Mus musculus: one gene and its partners. The protein of the gene in region 4 interacts with the protein of the main gene of each other region in a pairwise test. Links are inferred from orthologs where the notes say so. Each region holds a gene or a part of one and is shown on either strand. Other genes may lie near its edges. The genes, in order: Gcc1, Nmb, Exosc5, Birc2, Ppm1k, Wdyhv1 and Hsp90b1.

Region 1 (4,376 bases), on a different chromosome or scaffold from region 4:
GTTGGTAGTAGAGCGCGGTAGCCTTTTCCCCGTCAGCAGCCTCGGAGTTGGCCATTATCTCAGGGTCGCAGAGCTTCTCCACATCCAGGGTCACCTGGCTTTTCCTAGCTGCAACCTGTAGTAGCTTCTTGAGCTTCTCCATCTTGTCCTTCAAGACATTGATATCCAGACTGGATTCGTCGCCATGGATGTCAAGGGAGGACCGGCTAGAGGCTGCGAGGGCCAGTGTCTTGTTCTCCAGGTCCAGCTGCAGAAGTCGCTCCTTCAGCTTCTGGATGGCCAGCTGGTCTTTCTGCTTGGCTTTCTCGTAGGTGCCCAGCAGTTCAGATACCTCAGAGATCTGGCTCTCCAGGGCTGCTACTCTCTGCTCTTCTACCTGAGACTGCTGGCGGAGCTGGTCCTCTGCAAGGGCTGTCTGCAAAGCAAAGAACAGGTGACAAGGCATCCAGGAAAGTCACAAAACCCCTAGAGTCAACTGGGTGTGGGGGAGGAGACAGAGAAGTGAACAGGGCTTGGAATAACCCAGAACAAGTGGGAACTGGGGATTTTTAACTGAAGTGCCCTTTCTACCATAGTTTTCCATTCTTCATTAAGCTTGAATACAAAGTATGTTTCTGTTAGCCAAATCATTTAAAGAAACCGTGTAACATTCTTTCCCTTTCCCAACATGCCTGTAAATTCAAACCCAACCTAGATCCCTCTCTCTACTGAAAGGGAACACTATAAAACAGTTGAGGCAAACCTCACCTGAGCGTATACACAAGGCATTTCTTCTGGGGAAAATCCCCTTTGCTTCCTCCAGTCACCTTACCTAGAAGCACACACTTCTCAGGATACACACAAGCTTTCCCTACACAGCTGTCACTGTATCACCTCAAGCAGCACAGCTGGTAAGATGCCAACACCCAAGGCCTAGATAGAGCTATCTGGCTTGAACCCAGAAATACTCAGGAACTCTTCATCCTGTTAGAAGGACACCACACAAAGCCACACTTCACGGGACTCACTGATGCAATTTTTTCACTTGGCATCAAATATCACTATGCATGTTGGGAATGTGGAACCAGACCAAAGTCCCAGTACTCACACTAACAACTCACGCTATCTCACCAGGCATCCCTTGACTAAAACAAGACCCTGCCTTAAGTGGGGAGAGGGGTGCCCTTAATCCTAGCACTTGGTATGGAAAAGCAGGCAAATCCCTGTGAGTTCAAGGGCAGACTGGGTTACATGGTAAGACCCTGCCTCATGAAAACACACACAGAGAAACAAACACACACACACACACACACACACACACACATAGGGATGCATTACAGTTATCTAATGACCAGAAGAGAAAAATAATAATTTCCTATGTAAGCTAAAATGACTATTTGAAGGATATGAGAATAATTACCTTCCTCATTTCTTGCTGCAATTGGGCCTGGAAATGGCTTTTAAGACGGGCAGCCTCTTGCTGAAGCTCCTGCAGCCGGGGGTCTGGTCGGTTCTTCTCATCTCGAATGGTTTGCAGCTCACCTTTCAGCTCCTCTACCTCTCGGGTCAGCTGCTTGGTCTGCAGTTCAAACCCTTCGACCTGATCAGCGGCATATGCCCGCCCTGCCAAGGCTTCTCTGGTCTCTTCTAAGCGAAGTTCCAGGTCCTGGCGCTGGGTCCTCTCCTCCTGCAAGAGCTTCTGAAGCTCGCGCAGCATCAAGGCATGGTCACTCTGCTCCTGGGCACGATCGTGCTGCTGTGTAATGAGGCGGGCTTTGGTTTCTGCTATCTGCTCTTGCAGCACCTTCAAGTCTCCCTCCAGGCGACCCCGCTCTTCCTCTGCCTTTTTATTGGCATCCTCTAAGTCCTGCTTCATCTTCTTCTTATCCGCCAGGTAAGACGCCTCCATACGGGACTTTTCCTGAGTGACTGTCGCCAAGGAGCTAGTCAAAGTGGCCAACTGAGTCTTCAGCTGATGCACTCTTTTGTCCATCTCACTACCGGCAGATGGCCCATCCCCACTGCTACTACTAACGCCACTCTCTGACCCACTGGCCTCTTCAGACTTTGGGGGAAGTGGTCCACGGGCCGCTCTGTCATCTTCAACCCCAAATTCACCCTTGACACTTGTAAGACTGGCTGCGGTATCCAAGCTAGTGGCAGTTCCGGTGCTGTCCTCACTGTGAGTGGAGCACCGGTCATCCACAGAATCAGGAAACGTGAGACCTGGAGGCTGCACACCTGAGAGGCCTACATCCGCCTCGTGGGATACCGACAGTACCTTGATGCTGGCCTCCAGGGCTTCTTTCTCCTTCAGCAGGCTTTTATAGGCACGCACCACATCCTTGAGTCTTGCCTGGTACTGGAGAAGCTGCTTTTTCTGTGTCTCGATGGTCTCCAAGAGATCCTTCTTACTTGGGCCGCCCCCGAAATTCATCCCAAACTTCTCCATGGGGGTTCTGGCGTGGACCGCTCCACGTCAACGTTCTTGCAGCCCTGGGCAGAGCCACAGGGACAGCTAAAAGTGAAGCAGAGAGAACCGTCTGGCTGCAGGCAATACACCCGGTCCGTCCAGCGGTCCGGGCGGGATGAGGGGCCGCGGTGGCCAGGCAAAAGCACTGCAGGAGCCAGGCCGAAGGTGGGAGCCAGTTCCAACCTGGAGGCGGAGTGACGCTGACCTAGCAGGAGCAGTCAGCCTAGGCTCTCCAGTACAGGCCCTGAGCCTGTCCCGCCCTAGCCGCTCCTGTGGCCACCGCAACCTAGACCCGCCTCCCTCCGCCCACGATAAGCCCAGGGTTTACACTAAGCCGGGTTCCATCACGATTTCCCAACAACTGGAACAGCACCGCTTCCGGGTCTCCTGGAAGTGACGGCAGCAAAACGCCACAGACCCCGCCCCGCCGTGGGCGTGAGATGGGTGGGGCTTCCGCACCGTGTCTGCTGGTGGCCTGGAGAGGGAGTAACCCGTAGGTAAGTCTAGAGCAAGCACCTGAGCAGTGGTTTGGAGATGCCTAACTTTGCCCTCAAGCTACCACCAGTGAGCGACAGGGGGCGACGTCGCACTGCATTTGCCCCAAAAACATAGATGAAAGACGCATCAAACTATTTGGGGCAATGTCCAACATTTGGGGCAACAGTTAGGACTCATACTAGGAAAACGAGGCCGGTACCTGGTTAACGTAAAGCATAATAGCTCCCTCCCTTAGTTCTGATTAGTAAAAGGGGCATTATATAGCCATAAGGCCCATCTTGCATACCAGCATATGCTGGGGTCAGGGCTGTGTCACAAGAGTTACACTTACGGGAACATAGAGTAAAATGTACAGAGGGGTAACATGTCCAATGTCACTCAGCTAGGAAGTTTAGGAGTCCTATCTCAGTCTGCCTCTCAACATACTACATGCTATGCCAGATAGCACTACTGAAGAAGCATGGCCTTGTCCCAAGAAACTCCTAACAGCAAGGACACAGAGATTCAAACAGGTAGCTCCTGCCTTCACACTAGTGTGTCGGGGCATTGCAGAAGTGGTATAAAGGAGATGAGGCACCTGCCAGGACAGAGACTCTTAGGGGAAATGATTTGAAGTTTGAGAGATGAGTAGACTGCCAAGCTCAATGCAGATGTGGGAAACCAGCATGGAGGAAAGTGGAAAGGTGTATAGGGACGTCAGGCATCAGTGAGCCTAACTTGCCCAGGAAGCTTATGGTGTGGGAGAAGGGTGGCTACTGATGAGGCTGGAACAAAGGACCCAACTTAAAGGCATTTAGATTTTACCTTAGGTGACAAGACATGAAAAGATTTTCATCTCAAGAGCACACCATCAAGTCTCCTTTTTCTTTTCCATCAAGACTCTTGTGGGGACTGTAAGACGACTCAGCAGTAAAGGCACTTTCCACCCAGGCCCAATGATCTGACCTGAGTTCTATCACCAGGGCCCACACGGTGGAAAGAGAGAACATATTCCCACAGGTTGTCCTCTGAGAGCTACACCTCCACACATGAACACGAAATAAAAGTGGGGAGGGAGCCAGGCGTGGTGGCGCACGCCTTTAATCCCAGCACTTGGGAGGCAGAGGCAGGTGGATTTCTGAGTTCGAGGCGAGCCGGGTCTACAAAGTGAATTCCAGGACAACCAGGGCTATACAGAGAAACCCTGTCTCGAAAAAAAAAAAAAAAAAAGGGTGGGGAGGAGCTAGAAACAAAATAAGATTCCTGTGACATTATGAAGATACCAAGCCTGTGAGAGGGGTGCGGGGAGGGAAAGAGATGAAATAAGAGTGACAACGGGTTTTAAGAAAATATTTCTGTAATAAAAATCTACTCAAGATGCCAAGGCAGCCGTCACATCTCCGTGAGTTCGAGACTAGGCTGGTCTACATAGCAAGTTCCAGACCAC
Region 2 (4,306 bases), on a different chromosome or scaffold from region 4:
AACATGCCACCCTCCAGAACCCTTCCCTCTTTCCTCAAATGTGGGTGGAAGGAGAGGCCCAGACATTCTGTGTAAAGAGCAGTATTTTTATTCACCACTTCACCAGGGAAGCAAGAAATACAGCAGGAAAGACTTTGTGTCTGCATCATTAACATTCCTGGTGACCCAACCAGAAATCACAGTAACAGATTAACACATTTGAGCTTAGGATTTACATCCAGAGGAGGCCACTGCTAGGGTTCCATTGTCAGCTTCCCTGGATGGACACATTCTAAGCCCAGCATCCGGTTTGTTCCATTATTGGCATCACTTCTGCAGTAGTGGCTCCAGCAGCCTCCTGTACTGAAGGCAAGAAGGGAAGACTTGACTCTGGAGTCCACAAATCAGGGAAATGCTGAGTGTACCCAGGAGGGCAGCTGCAGGCTCTCAGCTGAGCCTCTCAGTGAGAACCTTTCTCCCTGGAAGACCTGAGGAGTCAGGGGGATTGGTTTTCCCAGAATATAGCCCCAACTTCACAGGGTAGTCATGACAACTAAAGGACATCACAGAAACCAAGCCCAAGGCATTGGAGAAGTGTCAGCAACATGCCCTACCCCCCATGCTCTGCTGCAGACCTCACTCCCTGCCACTGGCCATGGCAGTATTGCTTTCTATGAGATTCTCTGGTTGGTCGTGGTATTTCAGGTCTTCCAAATAATGTCCCTAGAGGTGATGCGCTCTCTCTCTCTCTCTCTCTCTCTCTCTCTCTCTCTCTCTCTCTCTCTCTCTCTCTCTCTTTCTCTCTGGACTCAGCTAGCCCAAGCTTCTCGCTTTTGCATCAGGGGTTCCAGGGATGTTTGCTGGGACTGGAGGTAGACCTGCTTCTAAGGAATGTCTCTTCTCTGAGCATGTTCACACTGTGCTAAGCATAGTAGGGGTAGGAAGGGCGTCATAGCAAAGTCCTGCCAGAGGCTTGCAGACATGTGGTAGGAACTCCTGCTTCCAAGAGCTTTCTGGTTGCCCAGAACTGGACTGCACGTGATACAAATGATCTCATCTACTGGGAGGTGGGCCTGTTGTTTCTATTTGATGAAGACACATTTCTAAGGTTCCCCTAGCTAGTTAGCTAGGTGTGGCCCCAGCATGCATCCTACCCATCCCACTGCCTTCTGCACACAGCAATGAGTACCAGGGGACACCAGCAGGAGCCAAGAACGGAGGAGCTGCCACACCACCTGGCAGCACCACAAGGCCTTGAGCACCACAGGTCAATGCTTTACAACCAGCAGTGAGTCAAGCCCACTTCCACCAGGGGGACACCGACACTCATGTCCGAAGGCTTTGGTTTTTGTTTTTCCCAAACTCCTGATCTCAAACCATCCTCCTGCCTCAACCTATGAGGCATTTGGGACTGCAGGCAAGTGCATTGTTCTTGGTCTGCAGGGAATCTTGGTTATCACAACTTGGTGAGAAGGGAATGTGCTACTGGCCTCTGGCGGGTAGAGACCAGGGATGTGCTAAGCATCTCAAATGCAAAGGACAGCCCTGCAGAGCCTTTACTGTCAGGAACACTGGCATTGGGAAGTGGATGGGAGACTGGAAAGCAGGCTGGTTCTGAGGTGTCACCACTGGTCACTTCCCTTCCACCTCAAGGCCGTAGGGATCACAGCTTGGGACACAAGCACAGCCTGGCATGGCAAAGGTGGGCTTGGCTAATGACAGCTGGGGTGGACAAGGCTGTGTGGCCTGGAGAACACTCTATTTAAGAGCTAGAATACTCCTAGTCTGCGACGTCAGACTGGGGATGGGCAAGGAGGAACTTTTTCCCCCATGTAGTCTGGCTGCTGCGTCATTTTCCAGTCTTTGGGATATTCCCCCTTTGAGCCCTGGGACCTTGGCTTTCTGGAATCCATTACCGTCTGGCTAGGCAGTCCCACCCTGAAGACATGCTGGGCAGCAATTCTTCCATGCTGGTACTGGGGAGGGGGCTTACCTGGATTGGGGGAGCTGGGCCACTGAAGTTCATGCCTAGAGCTTTCTTTCGCAGGAGGATCCTGAGCAGATCATGACTCAGCTGTAGTCTCTGGTCCCTCGGGGTGTTAGGGGGTGCTGTCCCCACCAGTGACAGGCTCGGGGGTTCCAGGCTCTTCTTGCCCATGAAGTGACCTAAGAAAGGAGGTGCCAAGGTACATGGGAGCTCAAGATGAGGACCCCATCACCACAGCAAGCTCTGGTCTAGTCGACCTTTCGGCTCTCACAGAGGGAAGACAAGAAACATTATCCTCAGAAGCCACAGATCTCTGGGTGGAGGCAAAGCTGACATCCTGAGCTTTTCCTGACCCGCTGGAGGATAGAAGACGGGTAGATAGCCCAGGACCAGGGAGACTACCTGCCAGGGAAGGAAGTGGAGAAGGTGCCTCTAAATGGATGCAGAGAAGACATGAGGTGAGAAGACTTGTCAGTCTGCCTAACCGACTGGTAACCGGATCTAATCTCTGTCTTAAACTTTCTGAGTGGGTTATCTTAGCCATGTCTAGGGTCTCAAGATTCCCATCTGTTAAACTTGATGAGCCCCCCGCGACTGCAGGAGCTCCGCTACCAAGAGCCTCCAAAGTGTTGAAAAGGAAACTGAGGACCAAGGAGAATGAGGCATGCTTATAGGGGGTCCCCTAACACTTACCGGTCGCCCAGAGGTTGCCCCGAGGGTGCACTCGAATCTTGCTTGCTCGGCTGCGGGGCTCCGGGAGATCCCAGTTGAAGGGAGCGACGCCGGAAGCGAACAATGCGAAGAGCAGGAGACCACGGAGGAGCCAAGAGCTCCCTGCTTGCCGGGTCATGGCTGTGCCAAACAGGCTCTTCTCTGGCACTCTCAGGATACTAGTTCTCGAAGCCCGCCTTCCAGCCTTTTAAACTACAGTCGGGAGCGGAGCCTGCCTGAGGAGCGGAGCTCGCTCCGCCCCAGAGCCCCGCCCCGCAGGCTCCGCCCACACAGCCTTGCATCCCGGTTTCTCCTAGAAACCCACCACACTCGCGTGCTTATGGCATCGTCCCCAGCAAAGGTGGTTCCCAAGGCCACCAACACAGCTTTCTGTGTTTCCATCAAGTTGTTACTTCAGCCCTCAAAGCTTCTCCTTAAAGCTAAAGCAGAACAAGAAGCCCTGCTTTTGGCAGTCTATGTGTTTGGCATCATCCCGCAGAGGAACTCAAGAATCCTGTCACCTCCTGTCTCAAACCATCTGAGCCTTGTTTGCCCTGCTTTGTGCTCACAAATGGCACACACTGGATAACCTGGACAAGTTCTGTGCCCAGAACGGGGACAGAATTATGGGGAAGGGAGTGAGGAGCTGCCTCCTAGTAGTGGTACCCTTTAAAGGGCCTGGCTTATCATACTGTAGGTCAGATCAGTGGAAAGATTGCTGGGCCAGATGACTTCTCTAGTGTAAAACGGAAATAACCATACTACTTGTGGAGAAGCAGAACTCTGCCTTCCAGAGCTGTTCTTATTGGTCTTGGAAAGTATCTTCAGTCATCAGTGGCATCCCTGAATGATCAGGGGCAGATATGTGCTCCGACCCAGCATTGTGGGAGGGGCAGGAGGGGACACCAATTTCCTGTTCACAAGAGTTCACTTACTCATTAGAAACTAAGTCAAGGAGTGACTGATGGAATAGAGTATTAGGTCTTGGACCCTTTACTGCATCATTTGTGCTGCCTAGCATAATCTTTTTATTTTGTTTGGGACATGAGCTATGTAGCTCTCTGTCCTGGAACTCCTACATAGAACAGATTGAGTTGAACTTATAGCAAGCCTCCTGTCTCAGGTTCCTAAGTACCAGATTATAGATGTGAGCCACTCTACTTGGTTTGCTGTCTTTACTGGGTCAGTTCTTACCTTCTGCTTTGTTTGAGACAGGGTGTCCTTCTTTCTGCTGTCTGTCATATAGTCCAGTTTAGCAGGCCCACAGATTCTGGGTTATTCTCCCATCCATCTCTCTCATCTCACCACAGGAACACTGATTGCATGTATGTGTCAGTACATACAGTTTGTCATGTGGGTTCTACCAATCTGAACTTAGCTCAGCCTTGTGGCTGCAAGTGCTTTTATCCACTTCGTCATCTCCCCAGCCTACACCTTACTTTTTGAGGCGGGGTCTCTTGCTGAAACTGGAGCTCATTGACTCAAACCTGGCTGGGCAGCAAGCCTAGGGACCCTCCTCTCTCCACCTGCCTAGCGCTGGGATTTTAGGTGCTGGCCCACACCCCTGGCTTTGCGTTTGGTGCTGGGAATCTGAACTCAGTACTCATACTTGCACGGCAAGCACTGCCT
Region 3 (4,379 bases), on a different chromosome or scaffold from region 4:
AAAACAAAACAAAACAAAAAAAAAAACAAGATGGCAAAACCAAGATGGCAAGCCTACACAGGCAGCTTCCCCGGCTCTGTAGGTTTTCATCGATGTACTTTCTGAAATCAGGTTCTATATGGTCAAAGCTGGCCCTGACCATGCTATCTATGTAGCTAAGGGAGCAGGGCACGAACTGTTGTTCCTCTGGCCTCTACCAGCCCTCCCTCCCCCCGTACTGGGATTAGGGGTTTTGTACCATCAGGTGTTTTTGGTTTGTTTGTTTGTTTTTGCCTTTAAGGTAAGCTACTGTGCCGGCTAGTTGCTTCTTTTGCTTTGCATTTTGTCAACTTAGCCATACCTGGAAAGAGGAAACTCAAATGAGGAATTGCCTCCATCAGACTGGCCTGCAGGCAGGTCTGTGGGGGCATTTTCTTTTTCTTGAGACAGGGTCTTGCTGCATGATCCTGTAGGGCATTTTAGTGATCAACAACTGATATAGAAGGGCCCCCACTCACTGTGGGCAGCGCCACCACTGGGCAGGTGGTCCTAGGTTATCTATGAAAGCAGGCTGAACAAGCCATGAAAAGCCAGGTTCTGCCACGTTGATTCTGGTTATGTCCTTGTCACAGCAAGAGACTCCTAGTGAGGACAAATGTCAAGTAATAGGGATATTGTGTCATTATCATACATACACATCATTTGCACTGCTTGCCTGCCGCAGCCACAGCCCCCTCCATCGGGTGTTCTTACAGGAGCCTTTGAGGTCAGAAGTGTCTGCAACATTCTTTTTGAAAGTCTGCCAAGTCTCCAGCTTGCACTAGGGCCCTGTGAGTTTAGGGTTTTAGAACATGGGAAGGTTCCCTCTCTATTTCTTATATCCCAAGAGATAGGGGAGGCTGATTTCAGCAATGAGCTAAGCTGAGAGCCAGCCTGGGATGAGAACACTAAACATCTGTGGGTGCTTCTCCAATGAAACCAGAGGTAACCCAATAGACTCAGGTGCTTACTAGAGCTACATTCCTGTACTGCTAGATAGACTGTGCTCTCAGCGAGCAAGGGAGTCTCTTTCTTCCCACCATCTCGATGATGTGGCTGCAGAAATTCTCTTCTTTTCCCCCTAGTATTTATTTTACTTTTTAAGTTATGTGTGTGTGTGTGTGTGTGTGTGTGTGTGTGTGTGTGTATAGTTCCCTGCAGAGGCCATAACAGGGCTTCCAATATCCTGGCTCCCCACAAGTTACAAGTGCTTGAAAGCTGCCTGAATGGGTGCTGGGAACTCAACTTTGTTCTCTGTAAGAGAAACCATTTCTCCAGCCCCGAGCTGTCTCCCCTTTTTTTTTTTCCCCAAGACAGGGTTTCCTGGCTGTCCTGGAACTCCCTCTATAGACCAGGCTGGCCTCAAACTCATAGAGACCCTGCATCTGTGTCTCAAGTGCTGGGACTAACGGTGTGTGCCACCACTGACCTGCCAGTTTTCTCCTTTCTTAAGCTCTATCAGTCGTCAGCTCTTGCCCCATCTATCTGATTCCTTCGCAGGAAAATGCCTGGAGACTTGTCTCAACTGTTTTTTTTCTCGCTCTTTCTGACCCACCACTATAAGCAATGACCTCTAGCTTATTAGCCATAAGGTGATCAGCCTTTAACATCTCAAACAAACTCACCATTGTCAACTCTGTCTCTGCCCTCTCATCTGTCTACTCTGGTAGTTTCTCACCCTCTCATGACCTCTCAAAGTTGGCTGGCCCGACTGGGATATAGGGTTGTGTGGGTCTCAGCCACAAGACTTCTCTTTTCTCCCTATTCATTTAGTCTGATGAAATGTGTATACCAAGGAAAGGCACGTTTTCTTAAATGATGGGACCGGGGAAGGGGAGATGCTTCTCAGCCCAGGATGGGAAGATCACATTTAATTTGAAGAGCACTTACTTAGATGTATCATCTGCCACAGTAATTATATTTAAACCAGTGGTGGTGATGTGTCTGTCTCAAAGGGTATTTATGCAAATAAACACCTTAGCCTCAACCGGTGATGTATGGATCTAGAAGTGTTTTTTAAGAAATCTAGTCAAAGCCAGGCGTGGTGGCGCACGCCTTTAATCCCAGCACTCGGGAGGCAGAAGCAGGCGGATTTCTGAGTTCAAGGCCAGCCTGGTCTACAAAGTGAGTTCAACAACAAAGTGAAAACAACAACAACAACAACAACAACAAAAACCCAAGAAATCTAGTCAAGGGGAGCTGGAGAGATGGCTCAGTGGTTATGAGCACTGACTGCTCTTCCAAAGGTCCTGAGTTGAATTCCCAGCAACCACATGGTGGCTCACAGCCATCTGTAACGGGATCTGATGCCCTCTTCTGGTGTGTCTGAAGACAGCTACAGTGCTCTTATATAAATAAAATAAGTCTTGAAAGAAAGATAAAAGAAAGAAAGAAATCTAGAGAAGGGTAATATCTGCCTTGGTGAAATACCTATTCTGGGATAGTCACTCTTATGAGAGTGGTCTTGCTCTCGATCTCCTCTGAGAGGGATTTACCAGGCTGGCCAACTCATTTCTTCTCGAGACGGGAGGTGGGTATACTCAACATCTAGAAATAAGTTCAAGGAGGCGGGCGTACTTGGTTACATACTACACAGTAACCGCTCTTCAAAAACCCTTCTTCGGTGAGGATGGCGCGCGCTGAGTTAAACTTGGTGAGGCTCGTACCTTGAAGAAAAGAAGCAGATCCATCCGGCCGGGACAGCAGGTTTTGCTCACAAGCAAAGTGCCGGAGACTGCAGACTGGACTTCGGGGGCTGGACTCTGTTCCGGTGTCAGTGAGTAAATTGGCGTCTGCACGCTTTGCGCCCTCCATAGCCGCTGACCACGCGCGCTGCGGCTCCCACCGTAGCTTCCGCTTAGCGGCGCGCGCAGTTCTACCGGCCGCGTACCTATTGCGCATGCGCCCGTCTAGGGCACGCCCGAGTTGGCCCTAGCACGTGGCTCAGCGTTTACTAACAATCTGGTCCCGCCCACCTCCACCTCCCAATTCTGGCATAGCCATTGGACAACAGGGAACAGGGGGAGGGACTTGGAGAGGGCCCATTTTGCTCAGGGCTCCGGGTCCTGAACCCTGAAGGTTCAAGTTAAGTTGTCCTTTTAGTTGCCTGAATTAGGAGCAACTAGAAGCAGACGACCGGAGCAATTTTAGAGACTAAAAATTGCCACCTTACTCATTTATGCGTCTTTGTCGCAAGGTGGTTAGAAGCAGATAGCGTGTTGGCCTAGCGGTGCTGCTATTTGAATAAGGCATCTGGTGGGACAGCCGTATGTCTATCCTGTGAGAAAGGAGGAGTGGTTATTAGCCAAGATGGCGATAGTGATGTCTGCGGCCAAGATCTGGAGGCCGAGCCGTGGCCTGCGCCAGGCTGCTCTTCTCCTGTTGGGACGATCTGGGGTTCGGGGCTTGGCTAGATCTGTGAGTATCTGAGCCCCACGGGGTCTTTCTTAGGGAGAAATAGAGACGTAAAAGTTATTCTTACATTGTGTGAGACACCGCGGGCTGTGAAGGAAAGAAAGAAAAGGTCCGAGAAACTTCTTGAAGAGAAATTCAAGGGAAGAATCCCTTTAGAGGAAAAGCAAGGCAGCTACTTGTGGGCCTCGATAGAAGGAGACGAGACGGGGGTTGAAAGGACAGATCAGGTTTTCATAGGGTCCTACATTGCTTAAATTCCAACTGTAAAGGGAGTTGAGCAAGAAACTGGTTTGATTCCTATGCCACCTGATCAAAAGGCAAGGCAAGGGACTTTGCCATGACTGTCCTTTACACAAGATGATTATGAAGGGAGACAAAGAGAGCTACAAGTTCAAACAGGACCCTTTGCCCACGTTATTTTTTTGAGACAGGATCTCACCCACGAGTCCGGAATGGCCTTTAGCTCACCCAGATGCTTAGACAGGCATCGAACTGGAGATAGTCCTGTCCCAGCCTCCCAAGTACTGGCATTACAGATGTAAGCTACGGTGCTTGGCTGCCCACTTTTCTTGAAAACACTGGAGAAAACTCGGAATTCCCTTTTGATCCATTGTTGATAAGGGCAGGATAACACTTCCAAAATCTGTTGCGGTCTGGCAATGTACCACCACAGTGTAGAATGCTTGCCTAGCACGCGCCACGTCCAGAGTTTGGCTCCTAGCCCTGTGTGTTTGTTTATCTGGATATGGCGACACATGTCTGTAATTTCAGCGCTTGGGAAGTAGGAGAGGAGGCATTTGAGGCCAGGTTGAGTTACGTGAGACCCTATCTCAAAAAAAAAAAAAAAAGATTTTTAAAAATGGTTTACTTATTTTTATTTCACGTGCATTGTTGTTTGGTCTGCATGAAGATGTTGGATTCTGTAGAACTTGAGTTGCGTACATACA
Region 4 (4,223 bases):
TTCCAGTTATCCAACATCAGGCCACAGCAGAAGCACTTGACTTTGTCATTCACACCTGTATAATAAAAGCCAGCACGAGCCAGACTCCTCTCTGAGACAGGAACTCCCCTGGGAAAAGCTGAATATGTAGACATTCGGTAGAGTTCACACGAAAAGTCAAACTTCATTTTTTCTTCGCTCTCCTTTGTCCAATTTGACAAGATTGTGCTCTTCTCCATTATACGTTTAAGTTTTTGGTGTAAGGTACCTTGGCCGAGTCTCTGGGAGACAGTTTTGTCCATGAGTAGTAATAGTATTTCTGACCGCTTAAACTTCCAGATGAAGTTTCTCACCACTTGACACTAGATCTCCACCACAGACACCTGACTGGATAGATTCATTGTCTTCTGCTTGGACTGGTGAATTGACACCCTCACAGGACAAATCTGTCTCACTTGCCAAGACACTAGTTAGGACTCTTTGGGGGTCACATGAACTCTTCTGGGTAACCTGAGATCTATTTACCCATAACTAACTTCTTATTACTAGTTATGAAGCCTAGGTACTAGGGCATATATTCAGGCTCTTTTCCCTTATAAGGACTTAAACATGACATCTGAACTACTCCTTTTCCTATGAAATGAAAGGAACTGAGTGAAGTCTGCAGCTGGTTTTCCTTAGAGAAGATGTCATACAGTATTCTCTAAAGTGGGTTACATCAACTGCAGCAGTCAGCTCAGGTCTATTAAGACTACAGTATTCACTGTAAAGGAACTGCGCTTAAAGCACAGACTGTTAACTCCCTCACTGTTAAATCTTCTATATCACCACCTTGACTCTGTATATATCATGTGAATACATCTGGTCAACAGACAGTATTTTGCACATAAACCTAAGACTGCATTTTATAAAGTCCGCCTGTGTTTAAGGCCCTTTCCACTATAAGTCTGTTATAATTAAGAACGAATCAATTCAAGACATGGCTTTCTTTTGTTACCTCAAATAACTAAGAATCTGTTTTAGCAAAGCTTTTCTGTTGCACTAGCCTTCTTTTTGAAAACTTCGTATTTTATATAACTAATCATACACAAGAACACACTGCAAAGCAAACCGCAGCGTCTTATAGAAATGTTCAGATGTCCATGAGTGGGCTGATTTCTAGAAAAACATAAGAGAACATGAAGACTCTTGAGGACTATCAATCTGAAAGAAAAAAAAATATTTTAGAAAACTAATTACACAGAATTGTCATCATCAATTTATTCAGTAATGTCTAAAAATGACACACTCTAGATAACAAATCTTGACTACAGCAGTTCCTCACCCAACCAGTCTACTTAGAAAGGGTCTAAATCAAAACACACCACTGCAAAAGCATTCTCAAAGTACTAGTTATGCTTGTCTTTAAAATGCATAGCTCAGTATAGTTTAAAAATTAAAACTTTGAAAACAATGGACATTTCCATTTGTCAAAAACTGGCCCCCGATTTTCAAGTTTGTTCCTTTTATATATTATTTATTTACTATTAGAAAAAAATGTACTATACTTCATGAACTTTTTTTTTTTTTAAGGGACAGGGTCTTATTCTGTAGACTAGGCTGGCTAGAAAGTCAATATAACCCAAGCTGGTTTTAAAACTTTTTGGAATTCTCTTGCTTCAGCCTTCCAAGTGCTAGGACCACACTACCACCAGGCTCTTTTCGTTTTCTGATTTAAAGATATTTTGATATGCACTTCACTGGAGACAAAAGGCACCATAAATAGTGGAAAGGTAGTCTGTAAGGCTACTGATATAGCTCCATGTTAGAGCACTTGCCTTGCAGGTAAAGAACCCTAAGTTTAATCACAAGAAAAAAATTATATATACTTTTATATTCTATTAAAACATTTAATTGAAATATATAATACAGATATAAGTACATATAAAATATATTTATACACATAAACATATGTTAAGTTATAATACAATATAAAATAAATAATATATACGATATTTTCTATTATATTAAAATATAAATATTTCCTGAGGATTCCCGAGGTATACTTGCAATTTTAATCTCAACACTTGGAAGACAGATGCGGAATGAAACGCTCCTGCCGGACAGAACATTTGAACTAGCCAGGGCTAAATTAGCCAAGATAAAGGCACCGGGAAGAGCTCATAAACGGAATCCGTGAAGGACAACCATTCCCTAACCACCACAGGTAACATCTCAAAACCAAAAAAGTACAAGTGCCGGTAAAGCAGTGGCCTGAACAAAGCTACCACTACCCGTGTGGCCTAACTACACTAGCTGTTACAACGCCAGCAAGCACCCAACCGACACGGCTCTACGCCCACTGCAGGGGGGCGACACGTAGCTTGGAGAGACAAGAATGGAGAACACCTTTCCCAGTTAAACCAAACCTCTCACACGACTACTGGGGACAAGTAGTAACTGATGTGACAACCGTCATCCCCCTGCCGCACAACTTAGTTTAAAGGCATTAAATGCCGCGGGCTTAAAGCTTAAAAACCTGCAGAAAATCTGAAGAGACAGCCGAGGTGCTGCACACCAGTAATCCCAGCACCTAGAACGATTGGAGGCAGGAGGATTGCCGCAAATTCGAGACTAGCCTGGGTTGACTGAAAAAATAAACCGAAAGGAAAAGAAAGCAAAACTGTTATACAAGTCCAAGCCCAAGGACTTAGGCAGGGAGCGGGGGTCGGGCGGCCCTGAGAACTGCCTTCCGGGCCGAAGGAGGAGTCAGCTAGCCCGCCCAGCCGTCGAGAGCCACGCTCGCCCGTCCTGACGAAGGCAGCCGCACTCACCACCGAGTCAGGCCCCCGGCGCCCTGGAAGCAGAGGCGCCTGATTGTTGATCCGCAGCCTTCCCAAAAGCCCCTGCGGCCAGCGGGCCGTTGAGGTGACGTCAGCAGACGCGCACCGCAAGTTGGAACGCGTGGAGGACGGGGTGGGGCTGTGGGCCAGTCGCGCGCGCCTGCGCCTGCGCTCGCGCCTGCGTGCTCGGGCTTTGGAAGCTAAACGTTCGGGCCGCTGGGACTCGGACGAATAAGGCTAGGCTTTCCCGAGCGTCCGTCCTTGCCCCACTGCCTCCGCTGGGCGTTCCGGACTTTGATGCCATGTGTTTTAACCTGCAGTGCACCTTTAATGGCGGCAGCCCTGAGCCGCGCCTCCTAGCTCCCTGTATTTTCCGGCCTCACCCTGCAAGGGTCCTAGACAGGCACTAAGGCAAACGTGGCGTCATAGGTAAGGCGGCTCAGGCTCGTGAGCTGGCCTCGAAACGCCTGAGTAAAGCGGAATGCACGCGTGTGCGTGTACATTAAATATAATTTGGTTTTTTTGTAAGATGGGCTTTAACATTTTTGACAAGTGGGCTCCTCTGGCAGGCCGGCATGGTGGCGCTCACCTCGAATCCTAGAAATTCAAACCCAGTTGGGGCGAGGAGGTAGTTATGCATTTTTAAATTATTATTTTTTTTAAAAAGTGCTCTTGCAGGCGACCCAAATTAAGCGCATCAGGCCATAAATTTAAAAAGTAAGGAAAAGGCTGCGGACTAGTTTGGAGGAAGGCATTGAAGGGTTAACAGTATAATGGGAGAGAGTATGATTAAAGCGCACTATATATCTGTGATGAGATTGTAGAAGAATACGTTTAAAACTGGAAAAATAACCCTGACTTCATTGTTCACTAGCAGTCTGTCTCCCCACCCCCCACCCTCTGCTGCCTTTCCCGTACCGAAAGTGCTGCAAAATCATTAGCATTCAGGGTAGGACTTTCTGATGTCCCCACCCCCACCCCCGCGGCCCTGTTTGGCTTGGATGATTTGTTATGGTTAGTTTTGCAGTTTTTTTATTTGTTTGTTTAAGAAAGGATTTTATTGTAGGGCCCAGACTAGCCGAGGATTTAGCATCCTACCTCAGCCTCCAGTGTGCTGATTAGAAATGTAGGCTACTACCAGTGAGGTTTCTACAGTTTAATTTACTTTAGACTTGAAGGTCTTAACGAATGAATCAGATCTTCTCTCCGGGGGAATTCCATGTTAAATGGGCAAATATTTTAAAAACTTAGAAGTAAAACAGACCGCTAAATTAGGCTGCCAGGGGAATTCCGGGACCCTGAACCGTTTCCCATTTTCTTTCCCGTCATTTCTGCTGCAAGTCGGTCAGTCACAGAACAGGCAGTCTTCTGGTCTAAATGCTGATAATAAAAAGAAAGTATTCATGACAGTTTCTGATACAC
Region 5 (3,649 bases), on a different chromosome or scaffold from region 4:
TTTAAAAACATCTTTCCTTCAGGTAATCTTTAAACAGCCAGCGGTGTGAGACAAGTCCTTAGAATTTCTCTGCGCATGACTCAATGCTTCTGATCCTGTCTTACCTTAATCCTTGTTGTCTCAGGTTCTGCAATTACCCCACTGGCTTTAAGATCCAAATCTCCGATACTCCTTGTCATTGCAAGTCTGCCATTTACATGGGGCTGTCCCAAACTATTCCAAGCTACAAACCCACCGAATTTCTTGATCCTAGTTAAGAAAAAGTATTAATAGTAATAACAATAACAATATAGTGTGCAAGAAACTATGGCACTGGTTTAAATACCAATTGTACAAATGGAAATTTAGAGCCTAGTGTTTCAAAACATACCCATAATCTAGGAACTTGGGAAGGCCGAGAAGGGTTTCCAGTATAAGGCCAGCCCATGTTAATTCCACAATAAGATATAAATGAAAAATTTAAGCCATGTATGGTGTACACAACCTGATAATCCCAGCGTGTGAGAGGCCAAGGAAGCAGGGTACAGATGTAAAGCCAGGCTGAGCTGCATGAGATCCAGGCTCAACAAACCCGAAACAACCAAAACAAGAAAATCTGCACTGCAGTAGTGGCTGTGCGCCTGCTTTCAAGAGGCCCGGGTGTTTTACACCAGAGAAGAAAATAGAACACTGTTTCTATGGCATCTATAGCTATCACCCCATAACAAGGTGTGATGACAGTACCTTTCTTTCTCATCTTTTCTTTCTGGGGTATGGTCAGTGGTCAGCTTCATGGGTTTTCCTTTTCTACACAAAAGAGCCCGGCTGTCTCCAACACTGGCTACCACCAGTTCAACACCATCTCTCAACAGGGCTACTGTTGCAGTAGTCCCAGAGGTCAGGAGGCTTGCTACAAATATTATAAAACAGAGCATCTGTTAGCAATAGGAATATTCAGATATGGAGTTTTCATTACAAAATAAAACAGAAGCATGATAACTTAAGGCTGGGAGGAACCATTCTAATTCAACCAGAGCTATGCAAATGAAATGCAAACTATGTAAGTAATGCCATGCAGAGAAGCGATTACTTAACTCTGTAACAAGGCTCCATGCAAACAAAATGGCTGGTAAACTAATTTGGTGTGCAAAGCATCAGTGTCTCCAAGTAGTCTGTGTGTAAAAAACAGAGCTGATAAAAACTAAGAATTATGACGTCTTAGTATGCCTAATGGGCATCAAAATAAAACATGAAAATGTCGCTAGTCTGGCTGTTATGACAGCACAACAGATCTGCTGGGCCCATTAGGTGAGACGCCTTTGCTATAATCAGATTTGGGTTCTTCTCTTGTATTCCTTACTCCCATCCAGTCAAAGTACTACCACTTAATAGGTGAAGAGAGAAAGGCAAAGTACAGCCCATCTGTTCTTCAAGTACTACTGTGTACATTCTTCCCTCTAGAACCATGTCAACTCTGTGTCCGTCTGTCTGTCTGTCTGTCTGTCTGTCTCTCTCTCTCTCTCTCTCACACACACACACACACACACACACACACACACACACACACACTCGTGCAAGCTTGCACCAATTAGAGTCGCATACCCTTTTTCGATTTCTTTGCTCTACACCTGAAGAAAAGTTATAGCCACCCTTAGATGAATAGATCTGAGTGAGTAGTAGACAGTGAAATTCATTTCAGTTCCTTATAAACATGGTATAGTTAACACTATTAGCCCCCAAAATATCCAATCAGAGAATCTGCAGCCAACAGCAGATGAGCAGAACCAGCTGCAACTTATGCGCCTTGCCCGGACTAGAACCTGTGAGCCATGTGCATTTTCTCTGCCATCAAGTAAAGCCCAGTGTTGCTAGCCTTGAGGTGGCTACTCTTTCTTCTTCTAACCAAGCAAATGCATTTGTGTGTCTTCTTTTGATTTAGTCTAACATCATCTGTTCTCTATCATTCACCACTTACTAAAAATATTTAAGGTGCATTGAGTCTTGCAGAAAGTGGGAATACTGTGAAACTATGAACCAAAGAACAATATAGCAAAGTAAGAAATTGAGAAATAACTTACACAAAGCAGGAATTATCTCTAATAACATCGTTAACTCTTTAAAACATTGTCAATTTTTAAATTTGACTAATTTTTAAATTTTGTATTAAAAAATTCCTTAGCCACTCACTTGACTGTGGCTCTATGTAATATTTGTAGAAAGTCTCCTGATCGTGCAAAGATGACTTTCACTCTAATAGGTGATTTTAGAAAACTTTAATTGATTTCATTGACAGTCAAGTCTTTCCAACATTTTTTTAAAAAGACAACTTTAAAGAAAATCTACCAATAATGCATCTTAGAAAGAGATGAATACTTTTTTTGGTAATTATATTAAAATGCCTGCTTTAATCAGAAAAACTAAAAAGGAAAAGCATGGATAAAGTATACTCAATCTTTTGTAGTCATGTTACGTTTGCTCTACTGAAACACAGCATCTACAGTTGGACTATGTTCCCATTTATCTCTTGATTTTGGAACCGTTAGGTCAAAGCAAGGTTATCACAGCAACACTAAGATACGTTAGTGTGTGACATAAGTGTTTTAACTAAAACATTGAGATGCTTTTTATTACAAGTGTTATAGCTTTCAACTTAAGATTAGTTAAAAGACTATACCACAATGCAATCTTAACAGGTCAATCAGCTATTTTATTTTCAAATTATTTTAAAAGGCAAGAAAGAGAACACAGGCAGTCATTAGATGCTACCAGTCCAGAGGATCCGCTAGTCTTCATGGTAGCTATCAGCAACAGTGGTCTTTAATTGAGGATGACAGAAGAACTAACACTTTATAAATGCAATTTCAGTTTGGGTTGTAGTTCCCAGCTCTCTCTCAACTCACCTACACAGTTTCAAAATCTGAGGATATATGGGGAAAATGTTAAAACTAAGCACCGACTCTGGCTTGCGATGGGGAAGACTGAGTACACAGTGAGTCCACACTTATTTTCATTTAACATAGAGGTAAAAACTCTCACTTCCTGCCTCCCTAACAACAAAACTATAGAACTAAGATTTCTGTCACTGAGCTTTGACACTCACTGGATAATTTCTTCTGCAAGTCATCTCAACTAATGGCACAAAGAGGATGCGGGACCCTTCCAGTAGTTCAGACTAGGAACTGCTGGACTCCTTCACCTGAGACAAAATTAAGCAGATCTCTTTTCCACTGAAGCCCGGCATAGAGCGTCCACAGGCTCCAGGTCTAGAGCAGCTGAGCAGGCACAGTTCTCTGCCACAAACAACCCGCACAGAGGCAAACAGGAATTTCACCCAGAAATTGTGCTCAGACACAACAAACCTGCAACACAGGGGGAAGCAGAGAAAGAGCTGCAAAATAAGGGGAAGGGTTTCTATTGGTGAAAATTTCACTAGCAAGTCACAGAATATCCCAGGAGCTTCCAGATCAATGAGTTCAAAACTCAGTAGCTTAAAGTTAATAGTTATTGATCATTCCAAAACAGAAAAAAAATGTATGTACATATGCATCTGTACAAAAAGACCAGTAGTGACACTGACGGGCATCTGCACATGTTTGTGTATGTGTGTGTGCGCGCGCGCGCACGCGCGCACACACACACACACACACACACACACACAGCTATTAAGCAT
Region 6 (4,168 bases), on a different chromosome or scaffold from region 4:
GGTGTGGGCATAATGCTTGCTTGTATAATTATGGACATTTTTTCACACTCCTCAGAGGAATGCCCTCCTCCCAGTTAACATCAATGACTCCATGAGAATCTGAGACAGCATGAGTCCAGAAAACGAAGGTGTGGCTAATGTCTCAGCAAAATGGTAAATACTGTGACCCTCAGGACAGCCCTTAAGGCTGTGGGAAAGAGCTCTAAATACATGAGTTTGAAAATATATAATTTCTCAACTATGCAAAAACATAAGGATGCAATATGAATTGTATAAGGAGTTTCACAGATCTAAATAGACAAGAGGCAGCTACTCTATATGACACAGATTTCTGAGTTCAAGCCTGGAACAGATCAAATTTAGGTCCAGGAGTGGTCAGAATGGTAATCTCCGGACAAGGTCCCAACTAGCTAAATTTACAAAAGCAGCCAGATCTCTGAATTCTTTTACAATGCTAAAAAAAGGGGGAGAAAATCTGCTTGTAGTCTCCTAAGAATTAAGGGCCTGGGGTCACAGGATTCATAGGATAATCAAAGGGGAACCTGGAGGTTGAGAACAGCTCTTCAAGAATTTTCTTTTTTCTTTCTTTCTTCCCGCCCTCCCCCACACCCTCCCAGGGTTTCTCTCAGTAGCCCTGGCTGTCCTGGAACTCTGTAGACCAGGCTGGCCTTGAACTCAGAAATCCGCCTGCCTCTGCCTCCCAAGTGCAGGGATCAAAGGCGTGCGCCACCAAGCCCGGCTAAGAATTTTTTTCTAACAGGATTTGGAACATGGTGGGACAATGTAAGGAGGGCGACCACAGCTCTTTCAGATCTTTTCTTAGCTCTTTTAGAATTTTCTCTAATAAGATTTACTGACACAGCTCTGTTAGCATGTCTCCTAGCAGCTAAACAGAAAAAGCTGGCAGAAGAGTGAACACAGCTCTTTTAGAATTTTTTTTCTGGCTTTCTGATTTTGATCAGAAAACCCAAGAATTACTTTTTGAGTATTTCTAACAGGATTTCTGACTTGGTCAGCAAACCCATGAGCTATCCAAAGAGCTTTTAGAACTTTTAATAGCAGAGAGAGCTGTCTTGAGCAGAAAGCTAGCTGTTTCAACCAAAAAGTTTTCAGAATAGCAAGAAAAAGCTGTCTCAAGCAGACACAGAGAGAGCAGTCTAGAAAGCCACATCAGCGGAACATAGACCACCAGCATGGACCAACAATTTGACTTCAAGTAGTTTTCACTGCTCCCAAACACCCCTTCTTTCAGAAACCCGGTCCCAGCTGAGGCCAGTCCTTGGCACTGCCAGGAAATTTATCTACCTTGTTTACTGCTCTATCCTCTGTGCATAGAATCAACCAACATACATTTCACATCCCTACGAAATATTTACTAAATAAATGGAAGACACAGAGTAAATGTTCCAGATAAAAACTAGCAGGATTTGGAAACCAGGCGGAGCAGATCTATAATGCAACAGCTAAAAAAGAAGGACTCCCAACCACCATGTAGACTCCAGATCTCATTCCACTTAGTTGTGTGGTCTGGGACAAACCACAACCATTCTATAGTTCAGCCTTTGTAGTGTCAATAATTACCACAGAACCTGTCTCCAAGACATCGCTCTACCACCCCCTGTTCTCAATCTGTGGGTCATGGCGTTGAATATCAGATATTTACACTACGATTCTTAACAGTAGCAAAATTAGTTGTGAAATAGCAACGAAGTTTTTACAGCTGTGGGTCACCACAACAAGAAGATCTGTATTAAAGGGTCACAGCCCTGGAAGATTGAGAACCAGGGCAAGCACTTGGACTTGAGCTAAAGTGGTCACTGGTCAGTCACAGCTGAATGCTAAGTTCTTAGAGTCCTTGTTTGAGTGACCAGCTAGAGTTGAGAGGAGTCTATTTAAATGATCCTGAGGTTTCTCCTGAGTTGGGATAGCAGTCCCTACACAAAAGGAAGATGAGGCCTAGGGACAAAAAAGGCAAGGTGAACGGTGTTTGCACAAGCAGCCTAGGACACTAACCTCACAATCCCGGGGCCTTGTGTAAAACAGCAGCACACCCTTCAGTACCTCAGAGTTCTTCCAAGCTGCAATCACACCAGTACCTACCTCTTGGGATTACTGTGAGGTTCAACTGAGTTAATTTACACCATGCACGCAAAACAATGCCTAGCATATGGCAAGGATGGTGCAAATGCAACCATTATCATATGGCCAGTAAGGTAATGCCAGTAAGGTAATCAGGGTAGCCAGTTGCCTGAACTGGATTTCCTACTACCACAAATTCTGTGTCTCCATTGTCTTTAAAATTATAAAGACGTATACTTCAACCTGAATCAATGCAGACTTCAACAGTTACCATTGGGTCTCCAGCCTAACTCCCCTCCCTCCCTTGTCCCTATGCACTAAGACGCCCCGACTTCACCCCACTGCTCAGGCTCAGCTAAGGAGACCAGAAATGCGTTCCCCACCCTCCTCATCCCGGCGCTAAACCCGGGCAGTGTAGGCCAGCAGCAGCACTCAGGGGAGCATCCAGGAGAGGGGCGCATTGGTGGCGGCGCGCGAAACCGCGCAGATTCCCGGGGTCCGCGCCCGCGCTCTCTCACCAATAGCAGCTGTTGTAGACACATGCGTCCCGCGTAGGACAGACCGGCTGGTACTGCGGGGCCGTGGCGGCGGGGCCGTCCCCCTCCATGACCCGAAGCTGTGGCTCACAGGTCAACTAAACAACCCGCTGGCCGCAATTGTCGCCAGTCTCCCAGGAGGAGAGGACAACAGAGTAGGCGGCCAGGACAGTTTCCGGGTGGGAGAGCCGAGAGCCGGGTGGGCGGGGCCCCGTGCAGCGTGAGGGCGGAGCCCGGGATGACGAAGCCTGCGTGGTTCCGGGTGGGCGGGGCCTGAGAGAATGAGTGGGATCTGAGGGGGGTGGGGGTGGGGCGAGGCTGGTGGAGAGGGGGCTGGGAATGCGAATCTTAGGATGACTTGAACTGTGTAGTTCTTGCCAGGTTTTGCGTGGTGGGTGGAGCCTGTGGCAGAGCGGGATGCACTTAGAGGCTTCCCTCTCGCCCCGCCCCCCCCACCACCCGGACCCCAAACCGAACCTGTTCTTGAGCTACGCTGCGTAGACCTAGTCGCCCTCCCATGGAGGGATTGCTTGTGTTGTTGCCAGTGTTTAGATATGAGCTTCCGGATACACTTAAAACTCCAGCTAAGGTTGCCCGCTGTGTGAAACCAGAAGAAACTCTAAACTAAGAGATGCTTGGGCACGCACGAAAGCTGAACCTTTAGAGCAGGAACTGAGAAAGAAAGGCGAACGGGGGGGGGGGGGGGGGGTGTTAGTGCAGTGCACCCAGATCTCACCATATTGTAATTTAATTTCTTCTCATCTGGATCTCTCTCCCTCTCCGTGTGTGTGTGTGTATTTTAAAGAAAAAAAGTTTTAACCAGGTGTGGTGACAGACACCTAAAGTCCTTGCATGCAGGAGACTGAAGCAGGAGGATTGCTTCTAATGCAAGGTGATCCTAGACTACAAAAGAATTTTTCTTTTAAAAAAAAAAAGATTTAAAGAGTCTGGATAGCATTTTGTGTTAATCATATTTATTTTCAAAAGAGAAGACACCAAATTGCTAAAACAGTGTTTATGCATAGTGAATTAAAGACATAGAGAACTGTCTCTATAGACATCCCAGTCTCCTGTGTGTGCCTTAAGTGCTCAGAGAACCTCCCTGCAAACGCTGGACTTCTTAAGATTAGATTATAGGCCACCCACAGACTCTCAGCCTTCTGAGACCCCAACCCCATAAAGTGCTGTGCTGGTGGTATTCTGGTGAACTTCAGCTGCTGTCCAAAACCCATAAATCCTACAAACTAAACATGTGTTTGTGTCTGTTACCAATTTATTGTTTCAGCTTGAATACTCCCTTCAACAGAGGCTGGGAGGCAGGGAGTGGCAGTCATGAAGCCTCTCTTGGTTAGTACAAAGTGAGTGTGAAGTTAAGCTTTCTCAGTAGAAGGATGGAAAGAGATTGCAAGGGAAAGAGGATCCCTGCAGTTTCTAGAAGGGACCAGAGCTAGTTGTGTGATCATCCTGCCCTCCAGTGGAGTCAGCTCTGGACAGACACCAGAACTTGGGGAAGCCTGCTTGCAGTTGTGTGTGGACAGCAATGGCCTTCTGTC
Region 7 (4,193 bases), on a different chromosome or scaffold from region 4:
GAGACACTCCAGATGGCTGCTCAGTCAGCCTGTGGAACGATTTAAGCTGAGGTCTTGGCTACCTTTTCCTAAAGGGCTAGGTAGTATCTATTTTTGGCTTTAGGAGCCATAAGGCCCTATCAGTAATTACTGCCACTCTAGACAAAAGAATTTGTACTATAAAACTAGGTACAGCTGTTCACTAATAACCCTAATGAAAACAAGCAAAGTCAGTTTGACTCAAGGCAGTCTGCACACTTCCATGCTAACCCACTGTGACTAGGAAGTTACTGTTCACACCAGAATGACCTACTGCGGAGTGCCTGGGTTCCCAGGATTCGTTTTAAAAAGGAAAGTTATTTTAAGCTTACCTTAATCTTGACCGTTAACTCCTCATTTCCAGCGAGTGCATTTTCATCAGTTAGGGAGATGAGCCTTATCTTGTCTAAAGCATCAGAAGCATTTGAAATCAGTTCTCTCAGGAAAATCTAAAAAGAAGCCAGATTTAATGAGTTGCGATTGACCCCTAAGCATGGTAAGATGTTGGTTCTTATCCACTCCTCTCAGTTCTCCTCGGAATCGTGAAGACACTCTTCAAGGAACCAAGCCTTTTATGGTGCAAGAGATGGCTTTACTCTCTTCATAAAAAAGGAGGTGTGGCTCTATAACACTATGTGACAACTACAAGGGATATCTGAAGTGGTGGGAACAGGAATACCTCTCCCACCCTCCCTCAGGGGTACAGTTGTGTGACTTCATCCGTCGGTAGGTCATGACCTTATTCTGAGCTGACACGAAAGACCAGGACAATGTCCACTCCCTTCCTGCCCCAATATGGACCAATAAGAATTCTCATTCCGAATTTAATTCCTAATTTCTAATGGAAGGATCCAAACTGCTGTCCCAACCATGTAACACTTACCTCTTTATTTTTATACAAAGAATTGATGATAAGTTTCATCATCCTGTTCACTTCAGCTTGGAAGGCGAACTTTTCAGATTTTTCTCTAAGTTCTCTTATCTGTGATGCGTTTAACCCATCCAACTGAATAGCTTCTTCCTCTCTAAGGAAATCAAATTAGATAAGCAAATACTCAGCTTCATTTTTCTCAGTCTCTAGTCAGGACACAGACTGGCCTCTGCAGACCTTCTTGTTAAAAGAGCACTCACATACCAGCTCACTCTCATCACAGAATGGGCTGTGCTTAATGCTCGGCTGGAAATAGTTCCTAAAATTCCCAGAAAAATACATCTGGCTTCCCTCTACTGAAAAGCAAGTCATGACTTGTGTACGCTTGCACAGTGAACACTTTAGTACCGTCACTAATTCCTAGAAGGCCAAAATTGAAAATATACCTCACCGATTGAAAAGCCCTTTTCTTAAAAGTTAAAGGCATAAAAGTTCTATTTTTCATAGTACTAACTTCACACAGACAAAACCAATCAAGTGTCCTGTCAGGTCTTAGAAAGTTGGAAGCACAAGCTGAGTGGGCTACATCACCACTGGTTTTCTGGTTTTAGATGCTGAGGCTTATCCCTAGCACTTTCCTTCCTGAATCAGCAGTCACTCCCAGGAGCAGACTGCTAGGAGCTTTTGCCTGCAGATAAATGGGCACTCCTAAGATCTTCTCTGGTTATTTTGTATCATTAGCAACATTTTGGGCACTGGACCTTGTAATCTGAATGGAGAAACACCAACAGCCACTCTGCCCCACTAACTTGCAGAGCTTATCAACATAGCTTCAAATGCACCGACCTCTGCACAACTTCATCATCTGTCCTTGAGCCTTCTCGGCTTTTACCCAGGTCCTCTTCCACTGTGCCATCCACGTCGACTTCATCATCAGCTCTGACGAACCCTGGGGAGAAAGGTTACAACTCTCCACACTATTGCTTCCTCTCCTTCGCATAAAAAGCCATATCAACGGGGGCAAGAGTTAACACAATTCAGTAAGTAAATACAAGCTGTTGAGATGGAAGAATTATGTACTGACGTCAATAACCAATGTCAAGGTAAGTTTGCACGCTAAAGTTTAAATATGAATGCTCAAGACCCCCGTTGACTCTGGAAGGCCAGGCAGCCATCACGTGTGTCTATCCTAGGCAGTGAGAGAGGCCCCCGTCTACACCCACACGTGTTGCGCACAGCTGAGAGGAGGTCTCTACACTGGCCAAGCCAAAACTTGGGCCTCACTTAGTTATCACAGGTCAGAATGCAAACAGGGTTTGTGCAACTTCTGTTGAGGGGAACTGAAATCCGGCCCAAAGGGGAAGACATGTCAAGGACAGCTCTTGAAGCACATCGGAATCAGATATTGGGCCACCGCCACGACGCTGGCCCGAGGGCCCACGCTCGCGAGTCGGGCGTTAGAAAACAGAAACGCGCTCCGGGAGTAGAGGGCAGGGGCTGGGGGTCCTCAGGCTCTGGTGGCCAAAGGTCGGACCTGATCACAAAAGTCCTTAGGGAGGGGTTCCAGGAAGGCTTCCCCCGGGAGTAGAGTCCGAGAGACCGCGCCCCGTCAGCGAGACTTCGGGGAGCGCTCTAGCACCATCCGCAGGGTATTTATTTAAATGCCCGGTCTCCAAGTCGCCTTTTCCCAGAGGCCTCAGGGAAAGCATCATCACCCAAGTCTCCTTCGAGGGAACGAGATGGTCCCTGAAACCCCTGTAGGCCACCCGGCGTCCCCAACCCAGGTTCAACGCCCCAAGAACGTTCGAGAAGCGGCCACACAGGAAGGGGAGGGCGCCCACTGCCGCCCGGTCACTCACCGAAGGTCAGCAGGACACAGCAGAGGCCCAACACCCACAGGACCCTCATGGTGCGTGGCCGGCGAGTCGCAAGTCCTTTTCGGTCTCAGGAGCCGCCTCCACCCCCCCAATCCCGAGTCTAAGCTCCTCACACCTCCAGCAGCGCGGTCCGCCCACTAAGCCGCGCGCAGGTCGGGCCGCTTTTCACCCCACTGCTTGCGGGCGGGGGACGGGAAACACGAACTCACCAATCGTGCCTCACCACGCACTCTCTGCACCCAATGGAGACGCATGGGGGGGGACCGCAGCCCGCCAATCGGAACTGTCCAGGTGCGGTGCCCGATGCCCGAAGCGTGGCTCCTTGCGATTGGGCTTGTCCAGCGGCTTTCCTCCAATCAGATGGCTCCGCGGGCCCTCACACACCGGGCCACCCTTTGGCCTGGGAAGCCTTGGTCCCTGAGGAAAACCGTCCAATGAACGTAGGCGCATAGCACGTCTGTCCATTCCTAGAGGTCCCGGGGAACCACTTCCGGCTTCTAGCGAACGTTTAGTCCGTGACTAGGGGAAACGGTAGCCAAGACAATGCGTCCTTTACCCTTTTCTCGTCTACGACGCGGGTCACGTTACGAGTCCTTTCAGCGCTACGTTCGCCGTCACCTTTCTTTTGGGCGTTTCTTTTCGCAAAAGAGAAATTTGTGAGGGGTTGAATATCCGGAATGCGTTTGGATGGTGGTGAGAAACTACAGTTTCCGGCATGCAACGCACTAATCTCATGAATGCTGGGAATTGTAGTCTCTGGCATCTAAGCCAGTTGCGTAGCTTGGCCCTTGCTTACTCCAATCTTGTGTCCGCGGGAAATGTCTCTGAGTGATTATAGGATTTCCACCTCATTCAGATTGCAGAATAGATCTGTGCTTGTTCTAGGACTCTAATGCACACAGTTTTCAGAGGCGGACCTGAAAAGCAGCCCCGCGTAGCCCTAGTCTCACCGTGTCAGAGGGTCAGCCCTGGATTCTGGGCTGGTGGTAGCACCCGGGTTTCCACGTCCGCTTTCTTGCGCGTCACTCAGGGTCCCTAGAGCCTTCAGTTACACTTGGCGTTGCGCTGCTCGCATTTCCTGTCCTCTCTGGTTTGGTTTGCAGTAGAGGGTGGCAGGGGCTCTCCAACCCCGAAGGAAACAAGGACCCAAGTTCCTTTGACATCCCCATAAATATCAAAGAATGACTGGGCAATCTAGAGCCTCTTTTGTGAATCAGCCAGAGAGCGCGGTGGTGAAGTCCAGGCTAGCATAGAACAGGAAAGAACTTATGCAGATACTTGAAAGCAAAAGCCGCAGAGCTTGCAAAACAGCCTGGATTGTGGCTTTGTAACTTCATAGAAACACCTTTCCGCCTTCCGAAAGATAGCAAAAGAGGCTCTTTCTGGTGAGGGAAGTCCCTAAGGCCAGCTTGTACGTTCCGAAATGT

The links.
Region 1: the proteins of Birc2 (region 4) and Gcc1 interact in binary tests that used the Homo sapiens proteins (3 or more experiments, as listed by UniProt). The two-hybrid records come from large-scale screens. The link is inferred for Mus musculus from reciprocal best matches to the Homo sapiens genes BIRC2 and GCC1.
Region 2: the proteins of Birc2 (region 4) and Nmb interact in binary tests that used the Homo sapiens proteins (3 or more experiments, as listed by UniProt). The two-hybrid records come from large-scale screens. The link is inferred for Mus musculus from reciprocal best matches to the Homo sapiens genes BIRC2 and NMB.
Region 3: the proteins of Birc2 (region 4) and Exosc5 interact in binary tests that used the Homo sapiens proteins (3 or more experiments, as listed by UniProt). The two-hybrid records come from large-scale screens. The link is inferred for Mus musculus from reciprocal best matches to the Homo sapiens genes BIRC2 and EXOSC5.
Region 5: the proteins of Birc2 (region 4) and Ppm1k interact in binary tests that used the Homo sapiens proteins (3 or more experiments, as listed by UniProt). The two-hybrid records come from large-scale screens. The link is inferred for Mus musculus from reciprocal best matches to the Homo sapiens genes BIRC2 and PPM1K.
Region 6: the proteins of Birc2 (region 4) and Wdyhv1 interact in binary tests that used the Homo sapiens proteins (3 or more experiments, as listed by UniProt). The two-hybrid records come from large-scale screens. The link is inferred for Mus musculus from reciprocal best matches to the Homo sapiens genes BIRC2 and NTAQ1.
Region 7: the proteins of Birc2 (region 4) and Hsp90b1 come close enough for resonance energy transfer, tested with the Homo sapiens proteins (2 studies listed by BioGRID). The link is inferred for Mus musculus from reciprocal best matches to the Homo sapiens genes BIRC2 and HSP90B1.

What each region holds. Positions count from the first base shown.
Region 1 is NC_000072.6:28,418,886-28,423,261, forward strand, and holds the start of Gcc1 (GRIP and coiled-coil domain-containing protein 1), read right to left. Parts: upstream 2,840-4,376; 5' UTR 2,432-2,839; coding exon 1,400-2,431; intron 416-1,399; coding exon 1-415. UniProt on the Homo sapiens protein: Probably involved in maintaining Golgi structure.
Region 2 is NC_000073.6:80,902,162-80,906,467, forward strand, and holds Nmb (neuromedin-B isoform 2 preproprotein), read right to left. Parts: upstream 2,902-4,306; 5' UTR 2,817-2,901; coding exon 2,660-2,816; intron 2,146-2,659; coding exon 1,973-2,145; intron 343-1,972; coding exon 307-342; coding exon of another isoform or gene 272-306; 3' UTR 66-271; downstream 1-65. UniProt on the Homo sapiens protein: Stimulates smooth muscle contraction. Induces sighing by acting directly on the pre-Botzinger complex, a cluster of several thousand neurons in the ventrolateral medulla responsible for inspiration during respiratory activity.
Region 3 is NC_000073.6:25,657,689-25,662,067, reverse strand, and holds the start of Exosc5 (exosome complex component RRP46), read right to left. Parts: upstream 2,916-4,379; 5' UTR 2,833-2,915; coding exon 2,685-2,832; intron 1-2,684. Other genes in the region: Bckdha (2-oxoisovalerate dehydrogenase subunit alpha, mitochondrial), read left to right, coding at 3,328-3,435. UniProt on the Homo sapiens protein: Non-catalytic component of the RNA exosome complex which has 3'->5' exoribonuclease activity and participates in a multitude of cellular RNA processing and degradation events.
Region 4 is NC_000075.6:7,834,198-7,838,420, forward strand, and holds the start of Birc2 (baculoviral IAP repeat-containing protein 2), read right to left. Parts: upstream 2,861-4,223; 5' UTR 2,793-2,860; exon of another isoform or gene 2,029-2,792; intron 1,848-2,028; exon of another isoform or gene 1,183-1,847; 5' UTR 282-1,182; coding exon 1-281. UniProt on the Homo sapiens protein: Multi-functional protein which regulates not only caspases and apoptosis, but also modulates inflammatory signaling and immunity, mitogenic kinase signaling, and cell proliferation, as well as cell invasion and metastasis.
Region 5 is NC_000072.6:57,514,870-57,518,518, forward strand, and holds part of Ppm1k (protein phosphatase 1K, mitochondrial precursor), read right to left. Parts: intron 3,368-3,649; exon of another isoform or gene 3,080-3,367; intron 1,152-3,079; exon of another isoform or gene 890-1,151; coding exon 724-889; intron 250-723; coding exon 105-249; intron 1-104. UniProt on the Homo sapiens protein: Serine/threonine-protein phosphatase component of macronutrients metabolism.
Region 6 is NC_000081.6:58,140,011-58,144,178, reverse strand, and holds the start of Wdyhv1 (protein N-terminal glutamine amidohydrolase), read right to left. Parts: upstream 2,814-4,168; 5' UTR 2,687-2,813; coding exon 2,598-2,686; intron 972-2,597; exon of another isoform or gene 910-971; intron 1-909. UniProt on the Homo sapiens protein: Mediates the side-chain deamidation of N-terminal glutamine residues to glutamate, an important step in N-end rule pathway of protein degradation.
Region 7 is NC_000076.6:86,702,559-86,706,751, forward strand, and holds the start of Hsp90b1 (endoplasmin precursor), read right to left. Parts: upstream 2,887-4,193; 5' UTR 2,798-2,886; coding exon 2,749-2,797; intron 1,839-2,748; coding exon 1,736-1,838; intron 1,044-1,735; coding exon 902-1,043; intron 468-901; coding exon 351-467; intron 1-350.